Linked DNA regions of Danio rerio. The protein of the gene in region 1 purifies or fractionates together with the protein of each later gene. This does not show direct contact. Links are inferred from orthologs where the notes say so. Each region holds a gene or a part of one and is shown in the gene's direction. Other genes may lie near its edges. The genes, in order: myo1ea and ostf1.

What was found.
Region 2: the proteins of myo1ea (region 1) and ostf1 purify together in Homo sapiens (co-immunoprecipitation; 3 studies listed by BioGRID and IntAct, counting the BioPlex papers as one, with this or other methods). This does not show direct contact. The link is inferred for Danio rerio from reciprocal best matches to the Homo sapiens genes MYO1E and OSTF1.

The regions. Positions count from the first base shown.
Region 1 is NC_133182.1:30,633,749-30,637,578, reverse strand, and holds part of myo1ea (unconventional myosin-Ie), read left to right. Parts: intron 1-216; coding exon 217-306; intron 307-2,202; coding exon 2,203-2,334; intron 2,335-3,358; coding exon 3,359-3,493; intron 3,494-3,672; coding exon 3,673-3,805; intron 3,806-3,830. UniProt on the Homo sapiens protein: Actin-based motor molecule with ATPase activity. Unconventional myosins serve in intracellular movements. Their highly divergent tails bind to membranous compartments, which are then moved relative to actin filaments.
Region 2 is NC_133180.1:7,426,222-7,430,051, reverse strand, and holds part of ostf1 (osteoclast-stimulating factor 1), read left to right. Parts: intron 1-256; coding exon 257-310; intron 311-391; coding exon 392-499; intron 500-3,830.

The DNA.
Region 1 (3,830 bases):
TGTGAAATATGCATGTGTACTGACATTGATATGTCTTCAGGGTAAATTAGGTCACCCATTTTGACATTGAGATGACCAGTGTTACATTAGTTCACCCTACAGGCAGGATTTTATCTACTGATCTCGTCCATTTCAGATCCACATTGTTTCTGTGCTTGTTATGCCAAATGTCAATGTAACATTACATCTCTCTCTTGTTTGTTTATTTCCACACAGCATGTCAAAGACATCATTCTTCAGTCTAATCCACTTCTCGAGGCCTTTGGGAATGCTAAGACAGTGAGAAACAACAACTCCAGTCGATTTGTAAGCATTAGTCATCCTCCCGTTATTTTATATTTATTATTATTTCATTTGAAGAAAGCAGACGGCAGATGTCTTGTGATGTGTTGGGCACAAGTTGCACTAAAACCAAAAAAGGGTTTATCATCAATGTTAAAGGGACTAAGCTGAAAAGAAAATGAATGAATGAATGAATGAATGAATGAATGAATCATCCATAGTAAAGGGATAGTACACCAAAGAATGATAATTCTGTCATCATTTACTCACCCTCGAATTGTTTCAAAATAGTCTTTTTTTTCTGCTGAATGCAAAAGAAGACATTTTGAAGAATGTTGAAAACCTGTAACCATTGACCTTCATACTAGGACAAAAAAATACTTTATCGTATGATGGTTATAGACGATTACAGGTTTCCAACTTTTGTCAAAATATCTTCATGCGTGTTCAACTGAACAAAAAAACTCAAACTGGTTTTTACAAATGAATGGTGAGTAAATGATGACAGAATTTTTATTTGTAGCGAGCTGCAAATGACAACAAGCCCTTGACACTAATTTGTTCGCATCCACAGTGTGACTTTTTTCAAGATTTTTCAAGTGCCCATATTGTGCAACACAATCTCACTGCAATTCGTAACTTTTTGATTTAGTGGCTCCTTTGTATAAATTGTTACAATCTCCTTTGTACAATATTAGTATGATTTTTTTCAGTATGAAGGCAGTTGGGTTTAGGGGCGGGGTTGGGTGCCATGCCTCCTTTTAATGGCAGTTTTGGAGGAATGCCAGATATATTGAAGGAAGTTGGAAACCTGTAATCATTGACGTCTATAGTATTTTTTTTTCCAGTATAGATGTCAGTGGTTACAGGTTTTCATCATTCTTCAAAATATCTTGTTTTGCATTCAACAGAAGAAAAAAAAACTGTTTTGAAAAAAGCCAAGGGTGAAATGATCACAGAATTTTCATTATTTGGTGTGAACTATCTTTTTTTATACTAAATGAAAGAAACGTTGCTTTGTCAATGCAATAAGAACATTTGATGAATAGGTTGGCATTGTAAGGTTTTGACCTAAATTTGGCAGCTTAAAAATACTCACAGGGCAAAACTGCCATTACAATATGCTGCATGCCACATTTACTTGCAGTTCTGCAACATTATGCACAGACATGCCAGTCTTGTTTTTGTTCTTCTGGGATTGGTGGTTAAGTTGCAAAAATAATGGATTAGCAGTGATGCAAATGGATTAGTTAGTGGAGTGTTTGGTAGCTTTTCGATAAACATTGAGAAAATTGGCTGTTAAATTACTCACCCTCAAACCATCCAAAATATATGTGACTTTTTTATCTTCAGTAGAGGATAAGCAATGTTTTTAACTGAAACCGTGGTCCTTTGTGATTTGCAAAATCATAATGAACACCTAATATGACTTTGAGAATGAAAAAGAAAACAGTGCACACGTAAAACAAGCATAATACTTGTGTTTGCTGACCTCCAAGTCACTCAAATCATTTCTTCATAGACCTCAACGTATCATCAGAGACCACACCTGTAATCTTTTTTGCCTGTATATGTTTTTTCGTATTGTCTTGTGTCAATAAGATAACCAAGAACTAGTTTCAGCTTCACTAATATGTTCTTGTGACAGTAGTCCCTCTTTGGGATGCCTGAGCATAAGTAAATTAACAGCACATTTTCATTCTTGAGTAAACTATTTTCCTTCTGCATCTGGGCATGTCTGGTAATTTCAGACAGCTGCTGTAAGCATAAGTGAACAGAAAGAGCATCATAAATGATAGTGAAGAGTGTTTGTATTTGTTAAAGCACCCATTTCCTCTTTTTTGGGGGGGTTCTGGGTATGCACACCCACCTGCAGAACAGCTCGTCTGTGCCTTTTTTAACATTCATCTTCGCTGACAGGGGAAATACTTTGAGATTCAGTTCAGTTCCGGCGGCGAGCCAGATGGTGGGAAAATTTCCAACTTCCTTTTGGAAAAATCACGAGTGGTGATGCGGAATCCTGGAGAGAGAAGCTTCCACATCTTTTATCAGGTGAGAATGAGGACAGGAGGTGGGCTCCTTCCCACTGAAGATGTCACTGTGACCGTCAGTCGTATAATACGAGGAAAAATTGAATGAATAACCGCAGTAAAGGCCAGGAAATAAAAGATGGAGCCATTTGGCTCTGAAAAGCAGGTCACGTTGTTCTGAGTTTACCACTTGAGTTTTTTGGAAAGCGAGAGTATGTCTGGCTTCTTAACGAGGCCTTCTCCTCACTGTTCCTTCTTCACAATTTAAACGACCGTTTTCCTTTGGGACTTTTTGTATTTTGGTGTTTCATCAGCTACGCACACTTTTGGCCCTTTGGACTTTTAGAAAATAAACACACTTAAAGCACTCTTCACACTCTTGCGAGTTTATTTAATTTGTCTGCTAACATATCCAGGAGAATTCTATTGATTTTTTTTTTATTCCTCGCATAAATTTCCACCACAGTGTGTTTGAGACATTTCCTCTATGTCTTAAATTTTGTGTCTAATGGATTTCTGAAAATAACAGTGGTGGAAATTACATTTTAAGTGGGTTTGGAATAAAATTCCAGACTCCTTTGTTATGCTAAGGCTAATTTTCCAAAATATACACCATTAAATATTATTCTCAGATCTAGGACTTTTTGTACTTGCTGGTAAGATTTTATTATGTCTTTAAAATAATTTTTGCAATGCTTTACAAAAAAGGTTTCATCTGTTAACGTGAAATAATTTACAATGAGCTATATTAATTTAGGCGGTTCATTTCGCTGTGGTGACCCCAGATTAATAAAGGGACTAAGCCGAAAAGAAAATGAATGAATGAGTAAATATATTAATTTACAGCTTGACTTAATCTAAAAACTTAAAATTGGTTGTTCATGTTAGTTCACTGTGCAATAACTACATTTACAAATGCAACTCTGGATTTATTTATTCATTTTAATTATATATTAATCATTGACCATTTTTTATGGTCTAAAACTCACCCAAATTCACCCAAGAACTTTTTGTGAATGTGTTATAACCTACATTCCTCTTCACAGCTAATAGAGGGAGCCAGTGGAGACCAGAAAAGCAGTCTGGGCATTACCAGCCTGGATTACTACACTTACCTCAACCAGTCCGGTTCCTACAAAGTGGACGATATCAACGACAAGCATGATTTCCAAGAAACCTTGGTGAGTATGATTAGGCAACTTGATATTTGCATGGAGCGCACTGGAAAACCTATATAGTAAATCCAATATAGTTCAATAGAGTTTGCCTGTTCAAATATGTGAACTGTTTTCCATATTGGCCGACACTGTTATTGTAACTTCCCTCTTTTTCTTCTGTGTGTCTCTCTGTCTGACCCCAGCATGCCATGGACGTGATTGGTATCTCAGGGATTGACCGCACCATGGTGCTGCAGATTGTGGCAGGAATTCTTCATCTTGGGAACATCAACTTCAGGGAAGCTGGGAATTATGCTGCTGTAGAGAATGACGAGTGTAAGTACACAGTCTCAATTTTGCA
Region 2 (3,830 bases), on another chromosome or scaffold:
TGCAGAGACTATCTAAGGGGCATGTGCAGGATAAAATTTCTGAAGAGCGGGGGCAATTCAGATCATTTTCGTAGGGCGCTTTGTATCCAATACTAGAAATGGCATGTGCACTGCACAGGTTGAGCCCTATGTGTGCACATGCCTGCAGACATCCACTCTCCACACTGCAAAGATCTATTCGCCGTGATGTAAAAATGTATTGCTGTGATTTATTATATGCAGTTTTTTTTTTATTCTCATCTTGATCATTTCTCAGTGGCTGAACAGGCAGAGTCCATAGATAACCCCATGCATGAAGCAGCCAAACGAGGTACACACATACAGACCCGGCTAGCAGTATGTTTGTTTGTTAAAGTGGTGAAATAATCGTCTGTTTTGTGTGGGAATGCAGGAAATCTGAGCTGGCTCAGAGAGTGCTTGGATAATAAAGTTGGCATCAACGGACTGGACAAAGCAGGGAACACCTCTCTCTACTGGGCTTGCCATGGAGGACATAAAGGTAGTCGAAACACAAACTGGTTGAAATACATGCTTTGACTATATTCAGACACAGGGGGCTTGGTGGTTATTCATTCGTTAATTTTCCTTCGGCTAAGTCCCTATATTCATCAGGGGTCACCACAGCGGAATGAACCTCCAATTATCCAGCATATGTTTTACACCTCTAATTATCCAGCATATGTTTTACACAGCAGATGCCATTCCTGCTGCAACCCCGTACTGGGAAACACTCTTTTACACTATTACATTCACACTCCTACACTACGGCCAATTTAGCGTATTTAGTTCACCTATAGCGCATGTGTTTGGACTGTGGGGGAAACCGGAGCACCCGAAGGAAACCCACTCCAACACGGGAAGAACATACAAACTCCACACAGAAATGACAACTGACCCAGCCAGGACTCGAGCCAGCGACCTTCTTGCTGTGAGGTGACAGTGCTAGCCACTGAGCCACCGTGCCACCTCAATTGGCAACTAACCAAAGTCAATTTTCATGTGCATTTTGTCACCAAAGCCAGAGCTAATAAAGCTAATGTATTAAAGCTTCTATTCCAGCATGTGTGTACAGATGAAGCAGCGTTTACTACACCAGCGGTTCCCAACAGGTCCACATGGGGGCCTCAGTGAGCTTTGCGGGGGACCGCGTCATATTTAAAAAAAATACTTAGCAGTGGACAATAGTATTATTGAAATTAATATACAAACTGAATAAATATATATTTACACTAGTGGTGAGCCGTTAATGCGAGATTCTTATCATGTGATAAAAAATAATTGCCGTTAATCTATTTTCAAAGTTGGGTTGGGAGCTGGGTCTATTCTACGCAAGCTATGATGACTTTCACCTTGACATATTAGCGCGGATGGATGTATACCTGACCGGTGAGCCATCTGACAAAAGAGTGCCCTTCTGAATCAAATCAGCAGGATGCCTGAACATTTCATTCATCTGCCATGACAAACTGGGGTTTTAGACACTAATAAGGAGTAGGTACTGGTGATTGTAATGGAATTTAATAGCATACGCCAAATGGATAGAAAAAAAACTTCCGCATTTCGCAATGTGTGTGTGTGTGTGCGTGCGCGGTCCTTTACTGACAGCCGCGTGTGGATCTTGACGGAAAATATGGCGAAAGGTGCTAAAGACAGCGGTGTTTACTTCAATAATGCCACTTATGATATATAAGTACATAAGCATACTCTACGTCTTAATTCCATTTCTGTTTAGTTCAGTTATGACTTTAGTCGGATTAAGGAGATAAAAAAAAAACAACAACAATTCGCTGTTTCAATGAATGAATGAATGAATGAATGAACCGCCAACTATCCTGGCATATGTTTTATGCCCTACCAGCTGCAAAATTCATCTTTAAGTGAATAAACAGTTAGTAAATATAAGTACATCTTATTGAATGGGGCGACACATTGGTGCAGAAGGTAGTGCTGTTGCCTCAAAGCAAGAAGGTTCGAGCCTCGGCTGGGTCCGTTGGCATTTCTGTGTGGAGTTTGCATGTTCTCCCTGTGTTCGCGTGGGTTTCCTCCGGCTGCTCTGGTTTCCCCCACAGTCCAAAGACATGTGGTACAGGTGAATTGGGTAGGCCAAATTGTCCGTAGTGTATGAGTGTGTGTGTGTGAATGTTTCACAGAGATGGGTTATGGTTGGAAGGGCATCCACTGCGTAAAAACGTGCTGGATAAGTTGGCGGTTCATTCCGCTGTGGTGACCCTGTGTTAATAAAGGGACTAAGCCGAAAAGAAAATTAATGAATCTTATTAAACATAATTAATTTTCATCACCGTCTTGTCAGAGTAGAACAGTTTCACAAGCAGTTCGTGATGCGGAAACCGGAGATGAGCCTCTGGTCTAATGCACCACCTGGCTTGAGAAACCCATTCTCGCAGACTTTTTATTTGGGTAGCACACAAATTCTAAATGAGCCATTCAAATTCAATTCAAATGAGCCATTTTAATCTAAATTAATCTAGATTAAAAAAAATCTATGGCCACCTAAATAATAATGTTTGTTTGAAAACTATTTTTTTTTGTCATCATTACTGCAAACTTACATAAGCGAATATATCATTAAATGTGGAGGGGGGCCAATATTTTCTGGGGAAAAAGGGGGTCTCGGGCAAAAAAAGGTTGGGAACCACTGTACTACACGGGGCCATAGTTCACTGAAGAATCGGTTTTAAAATTAATTTAATCAATTGCTAATAACAGCTGTTTGCGCTGCTTTATGTTTTAGTCACACTGAATCAATGAAAGCAATTAATTCTATTTATTCAGCAACCGCTGTAGGCATTTCCTGGGTTTCTCCGTGGGTATTTGGAGGGGTTTGTGGGTTTCCTTGACAGCAAAAGATTTAAGGCTGTTCACACCATGCTTTCCTGACCAGATGTGCGTGATCATCACAGTTTTGCTCAATACATTTCTGGGCCCACTCACACTAAGCTATCCGAACTGTGCCTGGGTGCGTTTCCTAGTTTGTCTGTTAAATGTGAGTGCTGCGAATCGTGCACAGTCGTGGTTCAGTTGGCCGGGCAAGAGTGTGGTTCAGTTGGGCTTTGTTGCGTATGCTTGTAATGTGAGTGCAAAGTGCGCCTGAGCCGGAAAATAAAGACGCGACATCACTTTAAAGGGACTGTTTCATATAAATTTATTAATCATTCTTACCGTTTAATAAACACGAACTGTCATAGTTTATTAAAGATGCAAACCTGCTAATACGTGCAGCATGAGGACTTTTATGATAATTGTAGATCTGTTCAGCAAAATATTTGACTGTCACTGCATCACAAACGACTAAAAACAATACAAAGTGATATAACTAAAGCAATGTCCACTGCGCTGAGTGAGAGCACTTCTCTTCCTGTCTCTTCCTGACCAGTCATATCATCGATGATGTAATCGTGCTCCTGCTCAGAATTTAAAAAATGCAGTGAGTGCAGGCCGTCAAGGGGAGTGGGAACAAGTGCGCTTCGGCATGGTTCAAATCAACTGTGCCTAGTGTGAGTACGCCCTCATAAGCCAAGCCAACACAATCTCACGGCAATTCGTAACTTTTTGATTTGGTGGCTAATTCGTATGAATTTGTACGATCTAATTTGTACAGTTAAGTACGATTTGCTCATCCCCCAATGACGGTTGGGGTTAGGTGCCACGCCTCCTTTTTAAAATCGTACAATTTTGTACGACTGAACTCGTACGAATTAGCCACTAAACTGGCAAAACGTAACATACTTACTTTTTCTCGTGAGATCAGGCTGGCCAAGCCAAAACATCAAGTCATCCAAAACTGCTTGTCAAGTTTGCGATCAAATTTC